Rattus norvegicus: one gene and its partners. The protein of the gene in region 3 interacts with the protein of the main gene of each other region in a biochemical or structural test. Links are inferred from orthologs where the notes say so. Each region holds a gene or a part of one and is shown on either strand. Other genes may lie near its edges.

Region 1 (4,728 bases), about 74 Mb from region 3:
GAGCCATTCTATTTTATAGACAGGTTCTTGTGTACCATGGCACAAACATGTACACATACACACAAATAAAACAAAATTTCAAACAAAAACAAAAACCTGGGCATTGTTTGTGATTCTAGCACAAGAGAGGTAGAGGCAGAAGAAAAGTTCATGACAAGCAAGAACTCTGCAAAGACAACTGTCTCCAAGTTGTACTCTGACCTCCACACACACTGTGGTATTTACACCCCAACCTGACTAAATAAATGGCATAGGAAAGTAAGATAGAATAGAGGTGGACCACAAATTTGAGTAATAAGCACAAAGCCCTAGGTTCAATCCTCAGCACCAAATAAACGCGTCTTCCACAACAACACAAACCCTGCACCCTAAACAACCACCCCCCCCACCCCCCACATAACAGGGGCTGGAGAGATGGCTCAACAGTGAAGGACACTTTGTGGTTTCCAGCACCACGTGGTGTTACACTATTGGTAGTTGCAGTTCTAGGGGATCCAATGCCTTCTGACCTCTGTGGACGGACACCAGGCATGCACACTGTACCCAGACATACATGCAGACAAAACAATCACACTCACAGCAACAGAAGAGTGAACTCCCCCAAATCCAGGTACCAATGACCACAAGAATTCTATGGTGGTTTAATTGGATGTACCCATAGTTGGAGCATTAATATCTGGTCCCAATTGATGTCATCGCTTGGGTGACTTAGGAGAAGTGGTGTGGCTAGAGGAGGTTGCCGCTGGGTTTCTTTTTCCCTTTTTTGTGTTTTAAGTTTGAGTCCAGTCTTGGGGCTAAGGTTTCAAAAATCCTAATGTCACCCCCATTCACTCTTTTTCTGCTCCCATGCCTTGCTGTCATGCTTCCCCTCAGTGATGGTAACCGTAAGCCCAAAACAAACCCCTTTCTGTAACTTGCCTTAGTTATGGTGTTTTATCACAGCAATTGCAAAGAAACTAATACAAACACCTAAAATGATCAGGACTTTACCAAATATTACTTGGAAACAGAAGGAATGCACCTCATACACTGCTGTTGAGGTGGTGACTCTGAAAACTATTTGGCAGTAACTGCAAGACTAAACCCAGCGCCTGGCCTATGACATAGCACTGCTACTCCTATGAGATCATCTAGGGGACAAAAACAGTATTGGACTCTATAGATCAGTGGGAACCTCCAGATATATGACAATGCCTGAGTTCTTTAATAAGACAGACAAAAAGATTGAACAGGCACCCAAAGAATGTAGTACGGTGGTGCGCACCTGTAATCCAAGCACCAGGGCAGAGACAGGAGGATTACAAGTTCCGGGCCATCCTGAAACAAGACACTGCCTCAAAAGCCAAAGCAAAATAAAAACCTAATTACAAATGACACAATCCCCTAAATAAAAACAAACAGAACAGAAGCAAATTGAAGTAGTGTGCCTTGCTAGGCAGTGGTGGTGCACTCCTTTAATCCCAGTCGGATTTCAAGGACAGCCTGGGCTACAGAGTGAGTGCCAGGGCAGCCAGAGTTATACTGAGAAACCCTGTTCAGAAAATAACAAAACAAAACAAAATGGTAGTAAGACCTGGCAAGGACAGGACGAACAAGTGGAAATGTTTAGCGCTCAAAGACTGTGATCACTCTAGATCATGGGAGAACCTAACTAACCTGCGTTGGCTCCGGAACATCTGCCTTCACTGGACTGGCCTCACTGCTCTTCCTCCGCTTTGTACCTCGAGGAGACTCCTCATGAGATCGGTCTGCTCTCTTCACTGCCCGAGTGCTGCAGCTGCTGGTGGAGCTGCACGGGGAAGGGGAGTCAAACAGTCCACATCGATCGGCCTTAGGGTGAAAGAGACAGACCACCTTGGATTAAAATCTAGTCACTTGAACAGCAGTAAGCCTAAAACCCGGGCCTAAGCTCTATGTTGTCTCAGTCAACATAGTCAATTAAGGACTCAGCTCCTCAGAACTCCACATGCCAAGTAACTTACAAGGTTTGTAGGTCTTCTCATGACAAGGGGAGCGGTCCAGAGGCTTGACATGCACGACGGGGTCTCCTCATCATTCTAGACGAAGAGAAAACTGCTTTTAAATAGATCCAGCAGAGGAGAGGGGATGGGAAGAAGAAAAAGATCCAGCAGACTAACTCTCCTAAGAAATGCCAGGTAAGTCTAGGTAAGTTTGTTTTGTTGTTGGAGGCTGTGAAGCACTGGCTGGCTGGCCTTGAACTTGGGGCTTATATGTTGATCCTTCTTCTGTTCAGCATCCTGAATGTTGAGATTACTGGCATGTAACACCAGGGCAGGCTTTTTTTTTGGTACGAGGGATTGATTGAGCCTAAGGCCTTGTACAGCTGAAGCACAGGCTTTACCACTAAGCTGTATCTTAGTTCCAGAAGTATCTCAATACACTCCTCCTTCCCTATTCCTAAGACTGGTTAGTGTCCCTCAGGGTAAGAGGGAAGATCTTACCAGTATTATCTGACCCACCCACCCTGCTTTAGTCAAGCAGAAGAGTCAATGAACTCTCACAAAAATGAACAATCATTCAGTCAGCCAGGCTCCTGCAGGGTGGTTAGAATGAATAGGCACACCCACCCACAGATGGTACCTTCAGATTCTCTCCATCCAGAAGGTCTATGAAGCCATCATCCTCATCAGACAAAGTGGCTTTCACAGGTGACTGGGGTGTAAAAAGAGGACTGAAATTTCCTGATTCACTAATGTCACTTTCATTTGAAGACAGCTGAAAGACAAAATAGCAAGAAGTCCAGACCACTTTGAATGCTTAGGTGGACTGCTTAAAGGAAAAAGGAGAGTGGGCAGTGCACTGTGTGTGAACCTGGCAGCCTGAGTGGTCAGAGGAGGGCACTGGACTCCCTGGCTCCTGAGCTCGTCTTACAGGGAAAACTAAAGCCATGTGCTGTACCACATGAAGGCCGTGAGCATCTAAACCTGTTGAAAATACAAGCGTCATGGAGATCACAAAATAGCAGACAGAGGGAGTTCAGGAATGCCTATGTAATGCAGACAATGGGAACAAGGGAATTTCATTCTAAACTCGACCCTACTCCTCTATTAGTTCAGGACACAGGGCAGTCAGGGGTGAGCTAAAACCTGTAAACGTTTCTCCCACTTCCCAAATGTTGAGATCACAGGTGCACACTACCAAGCTTGACTTCTAACCTAGCTCCTCATTAGGATTACAATGGAAGTTGGGCTCGGAAAGATAGCTCCGTGGGTAAGAGCAAGTACTGTTCTTGGAGAAGTTTTTAATTTAATTTCCAGTATCTGTCTCAGACAGCCCACAGCTGCACATACTGCCCTGCTCCACCAAATTAAAAATAAACGTGATTTAAACTAAAATGAAAGCTGTCCAGTTTTAAAATGAGGGATTGTGATGTCCTGGACATTACAACAAAATCTTTACAACTGTAATCCCATTTAAGCCACAGCACACACTTCTGGTAGTCAGCCTCTTTCTTCCCTGAGACTAAGTGCCCCTGGTGTCCATCCTATCTCAGCTGCAGTCGTAGCTGGGAGTACATGTGTCAACACAGCCAAACAATCCTTTGCTTTTGTCATACGCCTCATCAACTCACACCCTACCTTGGAAACCAATGTGGTGAAGTGGCAAACACCTGTGATTCTAGAGGCAGGAGCGTTAGGAGTTCAAGACTAGCTTTGACTACATAGCAAATCTGAGGCTAGCTTAGAGATATCTAAGAGATCCTGTCTCAAAAAAGCAAGTAACAGAACACCCAATCCAAACAAAAGCCAAACCAGTAAGATAAGCCACAGGCTTTTAAAGTCTGCACCCTCGGCACCTATAGTTAGAGGTGCTTTAATGATCAAGCAGTTACAGAAAATCTTAGCATTCTGATCCCCAAATATCTACCAAAAATATTGTTTCATATATATATATTTCAAACTGTTATCATGTACTGAGCAACCTATAGTTAAATTCCAGCCTGCTTTTACATGTCCTTTGACAAATGCATCATCAACTTCTCTAATGCAACTTTCTAACCTGCCAAATAACCCCAGCTAATTCACAGGCCTCCCAAACGTTTTACAGACATGAGCCACCAAGTAATAACAGTAAACTTGTTTTTTTGTTTTTGGAACAGGATTTCATGTAGCCCAGGATGGCCTTAAATCATGGCAGAGCTGAGCATAACCTGAACTCCTGGTCCTCCTCCCTCTATCTTCCAAATGCTTGGGTTGTAGGCATATACCATAGACTCAGCATGAATAAGTTTCATGCTCATACAACACACACATGTTGTAAATTCTCTTCCCATGATGAACTCCCAGTGGAAAAGCCAAAACACGTACCATCCGAGCTGGGGCTGAATTCTGCCTGTGTGTAAAGGGGTCCTTACTTTCCTCGTGAACGTGAGCATTCAGGCAGCCACGAGATGCAGGTCTTATTGGCTTTTTAAATTCAAATGCTTCCTGCAAAACAATAAATTTGAAATATCTACTGTCCATAAAATGAACTCTAGGGCTGGTGAGGTGGCTTGGCAGGTAAATATACTTGCTGAGAAGGCTGAATTCCATCCCCAAGCCCACACAGTGGAAAGAACACATCGGAAAGCTGACTTGGCTTCCACATACACACTGTGGCACACTCCCACCTGCAGGCTTTCTCTTTCACTAAATAAACCTAATGAAAACTTGTTGAGGCTAGAGACACCTTAGCAGTAAAGAGCAGAGTTCCTCTGTGGTGACTGTG
Region 2 (4,728 bases), on a different chromosome or scaffold from region 3:
TCGGTACGTTACAAAGAAGATTCTAGAAGCCAGATATCCTGAGAGTAGGTGACTGATCAGGACTGGTTACATCCAAGCAACAAATTACTGACCTGGTGTGCTAAGCTTGGAGACGTCCGGCACAACAATCAGCGTCCCCGTGAAGTCACACCTGTCACCAGCCTGGGCTGACTCCACGGCTTCGGCCCTCAGGACAACCTCCAAACTCCGGGGGATGCTTCCCCGGGGAAGCTCCGCTTGAGTCTCTTGAATACGAACCTACAACCAAGACCAACAGCAAAGGAGAGATGCTTTCACACGCTACACACCTGAAATCAAATGCTACAAACACCCACCTAACCCAGCCTCCTTGCACACCTTGTTCTGTGTGTGTGTGTGCAGGTGGTCACACCTGTCTCAGGTGTCACTCCTCGGGCACCGCCCACCTTCTCTCTTACGACCGGGCCTCTTACTGGCCTAGAACTCACCAATTTGGCCAGGCTGGTTGACCACCTAACTTTTAGGGATCTGGCTGCCTCTTCCTCCCCTGCACAGTACACGCCACCACACTTAGCTCTTTCTGTAGTACTAGGGATCAAATATAGGTCTCCATGCTTGTTGACAAACTGCCCTATAGACTTGTGACACATACCAATATTCACCTAAAGTTTGTACTGGGGGCTTGAAAGACGTTTCAGCTATTAGGAGAACTGGCTGCTTTTCCAGAGGACTTGGGTTTAATCCCAGTACCCACATGGAGGGTTCACAACCACCACCAACTGCAGCCCCAGAGGCTCCAATGTCCTCTTCTGGCCTCTGTAGGCACGGCATGCATATGGTTCTTAGATATACATATAAGCATAACACCCATATACCTAAAAATACATAAAAATTTTGTGCCCTAAAACTTTTACTCAAATACTTCACCTGGCTAAGCAATTTATCTCTTGGCTCTGGAGAGATAGCTGGGTAATTAATTAAGAGCTTGGTCTGCTTTGCAAATGTTGCACCACATGTGGGCAACACACATAATAAACTTTTGTGCCCTTTTAGTCAAATGGCTCAAGAGATGAATCTACTGGGACTGAAGAGGTGGTTCAGTGGTTAAGGACCAGAATTTGGTTGCTAGCATCCACGTGGAGGCTCACAACCACCTATGTCCTGGTTAGTTTTTATCATCTTAACATAAGCCTGGGAAGAGGGACCTCGGTCATGCTGGCTTGTGGGCAGGCATGTGGGGGTATTTTCTTGATTAATGACTGGTGTGGGAAGGTCCAGACCACAGTGGTTTGGACCACTCCCAAGTAAGTGGTCCTGGGTTGTAGAACAGGTTGAGCAAGCCTTGGATTACTGTAAGCAGCATTCCTCCATGGCAGTGGTTCTCAACCTTCCTAGAGCCCCAACCCTTTAACATAGTGTTCATCATGTAGTAACCCCTAACCATAGGGGTCGAGACCCACAGGCTGAGAACTACTGCTCTATGGCGTCTACTTTGGTCCCTACCTCCCAAGTCCTATCTTGACTCCCTTCCTTCAATGACAGACTGTAACTTAAGATGAAGTAAACCCGAACACCGCACCCCACAACCCCCTATTGCTTTTGGTCAAGTTTATCACACAACAGAACTTAACTAGGACAATCTGTACCAGAGGACCCGATACCTTCTTCTGGTCTCTGTGGGCACTACATTCCCACAGAGACTGACATAATATGTCATTACGAGGGCCAAAAATGAATTATTAGCATTATTAGCTTTAAATCTAATCTGTCTAATAAATACATTTACATATAAGAATGTAATCTAAGCAGAAGTAAGTACCTTTTGAAAATCAACGAATCTCGATTTATTGGTGTCTAGAAGGAACCTCTTCCTGTTGGCGCATACTGGATTGCGGCAGATGCTCGGCTGTGTGTATTTGAACTGCTGCTCTACGTCCTTGATCACTGTTTGGCAGTCGAGGCACAGGAAAGTCCCACTCACAAGCTCGGGGTGCACTGGGTGAGTGCGCACCACCTGCCCACTGATGCGAGTGAGTAGCCCGATCCTGGAGGAAGTGAGCTCACGAATCCTATGTGAAGAAAGAGTCACATTAGCAGACACCTTTCTGTCCTCTTCCCCACTTCAGTTCCAGGGACTGAACCTAAAACCTCACACCACTTCCGCCTGTTAAGAAAATCTTCTAAGTTTTTGTCTCATGTGTGAGCATGTCTCTGCGGGTGTGCACGTGTGAGGGCGGGCACCAGACACCAAGTCATCCTGGATCTGGAGCAGCAAACGGTCGTGAGCCTCCCGACACTATGCTGGGAACTAAACTCAGGTCCTTTGCAAGGAACACTTCACTCTTAGTAGCTGAGTTACCGCTGTAGTCCATAACTTCTTTTAAACTGTGTAACACAAATTCACAACTAAAAATAAAAGTGAGCTGGGCAGTGAGCTGGCAGTGGTGGCGCACACCTTTAGTTTCAGCACTTGGGGCAGAGGCAGGCGGACATGACTTTGAGCCCAGTCTGTCTACAGAGCAAGTTCTAGGACAACCAGGGTTGAACAGAAAAAGTGGCAAAAAGCTACAATAAGTAAATAAAAACAAATAAGAAATGACTGAAGAAATAAATTGGGTGGGTGCCATGACATGCATCTAAAATCAGTGTGCTGTTGAAGGGGCAGATCTTGGGTGCTCACTGGCCAGACAGCCTAGCCGGAGGACCTCAGACTCGGAAAAACACTGTTTCAGGATTGGAGAACTTATGGCTAAGAGTATTTGCAGCTCTTCCAGAGGATCTGAGTTCCTATGTCACAACAGGAAGGAAAGTCACCCCAGGAAATCCAGCACCCTTTTCTGGTCTCCTGGTCTCTTTGGGTAGTGTACACACTTGTGTTTCTCTCTCTCTCTCTCTCTCTCTCTCTCTCTCTCTCTCTCACACACACACACACACACACACACACACACACACACACACACACACACACACACACACCACAAATAAATATTTCAAATGATTTTCTTCAAGTTAAGAAGATGTTTCAAGGGGTTGGGGATTTAGCTCAGCGGTAGAGCACTTGCCTGTCAAGCGCAAGGCCTTGGGTTCGGTCCCCAGCTCCGAAAAAAAGAAAAAAGAAAAAAAAAAAAAAAAAGATGTTTCAAAGTTATGCATTTAAGTTGGGGGGAATGGGGGCATGGTGATATATGCCTTCTTTTTAAAAATTACTTATTTTTATTATGTGCATTGGTGTTTTGCCTGTGTGTACATCTGTTTGTGAGAGGGTATTAGATGCCCTGAAATTGGAGTTATAGAGTTGAGTTGCCATGGGTGCTGGGAATTGAACCTGGTCCTCTGGAAGAGCAGCCAGTGCTCTTAACCACTGAACATCTCTCCCAATCCTAGTGGTGCATGACTCAATCTCAACACTTAGGATGGCAGAAGCACCTAATTTCTATAAAAGGTGATTTCTGTGAGTTCAAGGCTAGCCAGGTCTACATACTGTGAGTCCATATTCATTAAAGTCCTAAAATTCATTAAGTTTTTACTCTTGAAATTTATTCTTTTTTTTTTTGAGACAGCATATCACTACATATTTCTGGCTGACCTGAAATCATTATTTAGACCAGCTGGCCTCAGTTCTCACATTTTTTCCCTTGGCAAATCTTGTCCTGATTTCCCTAAAAGGTGCTTTAAGAATAACAACACCAAGTACCTGCTTCAACTCATATTGCCTCTCCTAGCTCCAAGGAAAAACAAGTTTCTCCAAACTAAACTTCCTGAGTTTGAATACTTCAAAAACGTCAGTGTGACCTCGGCATCTGGGGACTGGGAATCTGAAGCCAGCACAAGCTACCCAAGAAGGCCTTATTTTCAAAAGACACAGCAAACAAGAGGAACTGTCACAGTATCAGTGCTCTATGATAGGTGAGGACTCTGAGACCCAGCCAACGGAGGCTGATTTGTGCACCACACTGGCTTGAGCGGCACACCTCAGGTGTTATAAATGCCCAGAGTAAGTGGTATCTGATACAATGGGTCCTTTCACCCCCTAAAGGTTCCTTCCTTACTTGTGTCTAGTGGGTAGGTCTTGGAACGCAACATAAAAATCCTTAGCAAAAGGGATCTCCTTTCGGTCTTTGACAAAGGTCTTCAAGGCTCGACACAGGTAAGGGTAGACTCTGAAAAGCAAGCAGAACCAGTGACAGATTAGTCTTACTAAATCTGTCTTCTTTTTCATGTTTGTCAACTTTGAGAGCACAGCATTTCATCTGGTCACAGTCAAGCTTTAAAACTTAACTGCATGATGGTTTTATCAACCACCTCTATCCCAGCACACATAGAAACTCCAAACACAAAGTGTTATACTTGTTGCTTGAATCATTTAGTACTCAAACCACAGGCAACTTTCCTGTCCAAGGTAATTTAAACCTTGTCAGCACTGTGTTCAGTATTGTTAGTTTTCTCTGGATAGTTTACAAACTAGGAAAGCAGAACCCTATTTGGTCAGTCCTAGTTTATGTTTCCTCTGCTTGCTTTATAATAAACTCTGCTGCCTGTATAGGGTATGTGCACCCATAAACCTGTGAAACCAGAGATCAACATTAGGTGTCTCCTTGCATCACTTTTTCCCACGCATGGTCTCTCCTTGAACCTGGGCCCCACTACTCAGTAGCTAGACTGTTCCCCAGCTCTGGGGTTATCGGTATAACTACCACAGCTATTTTATGTAGGGCTGGGAACTGAACTCTGACCCTAATAGTTCTGCAG
Region 3 (4,728 bases):
GTAACAGGAAAGTAATGTATGCAGCATGAGCAAAAACATAGGCATAAAATACCTACTCTAGGCAAAAAGAAAATGCACATCCTAGTTGAGAATAGGGTAAGACAGCAAAAGAATTCACCATGCTAATCACAATCGTGCTCAACCCACAAAGCTGCAGAAAGCAACAGTGTAGAGGGGTGGGGACCACTGTACGGAAAACACAAAGCCATTTTGAAAATCTATCTAGAAAAATACTATAAATAAAATATATGAAAAAATACCTTAGAAAGCCGGAAGTCAACCAGTATCTTCTCATCCATTTCTACCAAATTTATTTTGAAAATCAACTTATTGTTTCTTCTATCCATTGTTGATACAGTAACCTAAGGCAATAAAAATAAGGTCAAGCCACATACACACGTGAATAGAAAATACTCTTAACAGTTCTTGTTCAACGGGAGTGTCATGGAGAACACTATACATTTCAAGACTAGAGAGACGGCTCAGGTTAAAAGTACTTGCCCCTCACTCTTCCAGAGGACCCTGGGTCCACTCCTGGCATCCATGCCAGGGGGCTCTCAGCCACCTATGATTCTAGCTCCAAAGGATCTGATGCCTCCACAGACACTAACATACGCATGTACCCTGACACACCGTTTATGCATAAGTGTAAAATTAAAAATCAAAAAAAATCTTACCAAAAAAAAAGAAAGAAAGAAAGAAAGAAAGAAAGAAAGAAAGAAAGAATGCTCTCTCTCTCTTTCCAATCTAAACCAAGCTGTAAGTTAGAACTTTAGTCTAAGTGAACTTGTGGTAAAAAAGAAGGCATTCTAGCAAAGCAGAATTGAAAGAAAAGACAAATAAAAATAATAGGAATAGAATGAAGACTGGAGGTGTAGCTTAGTGGTAAAGCACTTGCCCAGCATACACAATGCCTGAGTTCAATCCCCCAATACTGTAGCCAACCAATCAGTCAAATATATGAGAGAGAAAACAAGGTTATTACAGTACAAGAAGAGCCGGGGGTGGTGGCACACACCTTCTCCGTGAGTTCCAAGTTAGCCTGCTCTACAGAATGAGTTCCAGAACAGCCAGGGCTGTGTTTGTGTTTCAAACAAATACAAAAACTAATGAAAAAACAATACAAGAAAGAAAAGAGACGCTATTTAAGGCTGAAAAGCTGGAACAACAATGTGACAGTGATAGTGAGGGTAAGGAGCTTGGGTGAGATGACTGATGGCAGTCAAGAGCCAGCACCAAGACCCCAAACATGGAGGTGAGGACATCTCCAAGTGCAGCTTAATATAACATTACTAACTTCAGAGGTTTTTGAAAACACAAAACAAACAAACGCAAAAAAATCTTAAAACTTGCAATTGTTTCTTTTTCAAATTAATTACTTTTATTTTTAGAACGTTCACTGATCACTGATAACTTTTACTCAAATATTTAATTTTCTATAGGAAAAGAAATAATGAAAACTAACAAAACATACCTGATTCATACAACTCTTCTTCCACTGATAGCCCAACTTCTCAAAGGTCTCTTTCAGGCATTGGTAAGATTTGTCTGCATCCAATTTAGTGAAGAATCGTGTCATCCTTTTGACCAAGCGCTGCCAGGGGTTCTGCACATCAAAGAAGAAAGCTGAATAAATCCAGTGTGACCAGTTTACAGCAATTAGTCTGATCTTAAGTTTCTTTCCCATAATGGCCTCCTCTAATTATTTCTTACTTTTCCAAATAATATGTATCAACTAAAAGTATTAATGCCATATACCTAAGATTTAAGACCACAAAAATAAAAAGCAACAGTTATTTATCTGAAAGTTGAAATTCCTCACCTGTGAAGATCCAGGGGTACCAAGTAGCTGACTGTTTACAAGCATATGATCAGGACACGTAGGCTGGGAAAAACTGATGCCTTGCACCAGTTTGTCCACATTTGAGGGGCCAGTGTCCCACAAGGAAAGCCCTGTCCGAGGCTCTGGCTGGGAACTAGAGAACTTCACGTTTTCTTCACTGAGAGATTAAGAGAAAAGAAAAGTATGACTTCAATTCTCTGTTTTTAAGGCGGCTTCATTCTTTTTAATTATTCATTTTGTGTTGTTTGTTTGTTTGTTTGTTTGTTTGTTTGTTTGTTTGAGACAATACTGTGTCATGTTGCCTAGATTGGCCTGGCCTGGCACTGTCTATCCTCCTGCCTCAGCCTTCCAATTAACAGTTACCTGGGACTGTAAGTGTGTATAGTACAGAGTCAGACTAAAATTGTCTTTAAATAAAACCCACCAGGATTTTTTTATATGGCACAATCATTCTCATTTTGGTAAAATTACAGGCATTATTAAGTAAAATATATACTTCTTTTTTATGGGGGATAATTACATTTAAGAAACAAACTTAATCTGCTAATCCATGGTAGTGCAAACTTGTAATCACAACACTCAGGAGGCAGACACAGGAGGTTCCATACAAATTTAAGACTAGGGTGGGCTACCCAGTTCCAGTTCAGCCAAGGTTACTTAGTAAAACACTATCTCAAAAGAAAAAAAAAAAGGAAAAAAAGAAAAAATAAAATTTTATGTCTTACCTGGAACCACTATTTATTGGAGAAAAGTCCAAATTGGAATGAATGTGCTTAGAGAATCCACTAGAAGACTCTGACATACCACCTGAAGTAGCACGTGGCCTCTTCGCTCCTGAAAAAAGGAACAAATGCAAATCCTCTATTCAAGTATTTAATCCAACTAGCATTTTGAATAAATAAAGCCACATCTAAATCCATTTACTGAATACAAAGCAATATAAAATAAACAATTTTTTCTTAAACAACTTTATGTTTAAACAAAGAAATGTTACCCTAGTGCTTCACTAAGGCCACAAGTTTAATGCCATCTTTTATGAGTAAACATGATGTTCAACAAAAGAGTAGCTCATAACTAGAACTTTTAAAATTTTTAAATAACTCAGTAAAGAACGACAATCAATAAAAATAAGACCCTCAGCTAGACTACTACAGTCCATGCTACTTGTCTCCTCACACTTCCTAAGAATTCTCAAAACTTCTACTCTCTTCTGAGATTAGCAATACCGCCCACCATTCCATCATTCTTAGCATAATATGCTATCCTACTTTTAGAATAATGCTAACAGACATAAAATAGCACAGTATGTCACTACCACCACATACACACACACACACACACACACACACACACACACACACACACACACACACACACAAAGTGCCCTCAGAAGCCAAAGGGTACCTGAGTTAGAAATGTTTGTGGGCCTCCTTGTGGGTGCTGGGAATCAGACCCAGGTCCTCTAACTGCTGAACCACGCCTCCAGCACCAACCTCCCAAACCTTAACACTCTACTGAGTAAAAACAAAGTTCAGTTCAGTAAGGTGATGCTGATTCTCTAACTGCTTACTACCTTACTTACAATGAAGTGAAATAATGCAAACAAACAAACTGGGAAAGGTGCGTACAGTTTGAAAGTTTTCTGCTTGCCAGTGCCCAAGGAAGGTGAGAGAGTAACACATGTAAAGAAGACTCAGACAGGGAAGGAAGGTATTGCTAGACACAAGGAATAAGTTCTCATCATCCAAAACGAAAGTCTATGGAAGAAGTGCGAAAGAGAAAAAAAATTGTTAATTCAGTTTGGGACAAATCATGCTTGATTGAAATGTAGTACATCAACAGATAGTCCTAAGAGAGGGACTGCAGAGATGTCTCAGGGGTTAAGAGCACTTTTTGTTCTTGCAAAGGACCCAGGCTCGGTTCCCAGTAGTCACATCACAACTCACAACATCTGTACCTCCTGTTCCAGGGGATCCAGTGCCCTCTTCTGCCTTCAAGGACCCCCAGGCACACATGTGTAGTGTGTACACACACACAGACACACACACACACACACACACACACACACTCTCTCTGCCCCTCCCCCTCCCCTGCAGAGTTTGTGGTATTTTATAAGTATCTATGTTTCACAAAAGAAACCTCTTTTTTACCTCTGTTAAGTGGTTTGTTGTACCATCTATCTTTTTTAATGTCTGGGATGGTGATCCTTGCTGATGGATTCTCAACTAGAATTTTATGAAGCAAAGCTGAAAAGAAAACAAGACAGTATTTGTAAAAGAGGTACACAGATTAGACAAACTTTCAAAGACACAAAAGCCAGAAACATGATATACACCTACAGCCTCAATAGTTGAGAAGCACAGGCAGGATGCTTGAGGCCAGCTTGGGAAATATATACATTAGTTTAAAAAAAGAATTCATACAATTTCCAACATCCCAACATCAAAAATGTAAGCCAGGGGACTGGTGAGATGGCTCAACAGTTATCCAGCAACCATAAGGTAGGTAACTCACAACCATCTATAAAGGGATCTGATGCCCTCTTCTGGCACGTAGGTGTACATGCAGAAGAGCACTCCTACATTTAAAAAAAAATACATATATAAATCAATTATTTTAAACCAAGAATAAAAAAGTGACCAGCTTGTAGTCCCATCATTCAGAAGGCTGAGAGGATGCCACAGTCAGGTCCAGCCTGAGATTCAAGACAGCATGGGCTAACACAGACCTTGTCTCCCAGAATAAACAAGCCATCTGAACACCAGCATCTGAAGGTGGAGACTGAAGGTAAAGATCATCCTCTACTACACAGCTGAGCGCAGGGTTCAGCTTGGGCTAAACAAGACCATTTCAAAATCAAAGCCAAAAGCAATCAAACACAAAAA

Evidence for each region.
Region 1: of the proteins of Chek1 (region 3) and Cdc25a, one has a biochemical effect on the other in vitro, tested with the Homo sapiens proteins (7 studies listed by BioGRID and IntAct, with this or other methods). The link is inferred for Rattus norvegicus from reciprocal best matches to the Homo sapiens genes CHEK1 and CDC25A.
Region 2: the proteins of Chek1 (region 3) and Mcm6 form a complex in vitro, tested with the Homo sapiens proteins (2 studies listed by BioGRID, with this or other methods). The link is inferred for Rattus norvegicus from reciprocal best matches to the Homo sapiens genes CHEK1 and MCM6.

The regions. Positions count from the first base shown.
Region 1 is NC_086026.1:118,748,695-118,753,422, reverse strand, and holds part of Cdc25a (M-phase inducer phosphatase 1), read right to left. Parts: intron 4,449-4,728; coding exon 4,329-4,448; intron 2,737-4,328; coding exon 2,602-2,736; intron 2,058-2,601; coding exon 1,983-2,057; intron 1,831-1,982; coding exon 1,657-1,830; intron 1-1,656. UniProt on the Homo sapiens protein: Tyrosine protein phosphatase which functions as a dosage-dependent inducer of mitotic progression. Directly dephosphorylates CDK1 and stimulates its kinase activity. Also dephosphorylates CDK2 in complex with cyclin-E, in vitro.
Region 2 is NC_086031.1:42,393,978-42,398,705, forward strand, and holds part of Mcm6 (DNA replication licensing factor MCM6), read right to left. Parts: intron 4,140-4,728; coding exon 4,029-4,139; intron 2,049-4,028; coding exon 1,799-2,048; intron 259-1,798; coding exon 93-258; intron 1-92. UniProt on the Homo sapiens protein: Acts as a component of the MCM2-7 complex (MCM complex) which is the replicative helicase essential for 'once per cell cycle' DNA replication initiation and elongation in eukaryotic cells.
Region 3 is NC_086026.1:44,611,998-44,616,725, forward strand, and holds part of Chek1 (serine/threonine-protein kinase Chk1), read right to left. Parts: intron 4,090-4,728; coding exon 3,994-4,089; intron 3,601-3,993; coding exon of another isoform or gene 3,584-3,600; exon of another isoform or gene 3,404-3,583; intron 3,358-3,403; coding exon of another isoform or gene 3,347-3,357; exon of another isoform or gene 3,257-3,346; intron 2,678-3,256; coding exon 2,569-2,677; intron 2,001-2,568; coding exon 1,823-2,000; intron 1,607-1,822; coding exon 1,475-1,606; intron 363-1,474; coding exon 261-362; intron 1-260. UniProt on the Homo sapiens protein: Serine/threonine-protein kinase which is required for checkpoint-mediated cell cycle arrest and activation of DNA repair in response to the presence of DNA damage or unreplicated DNA.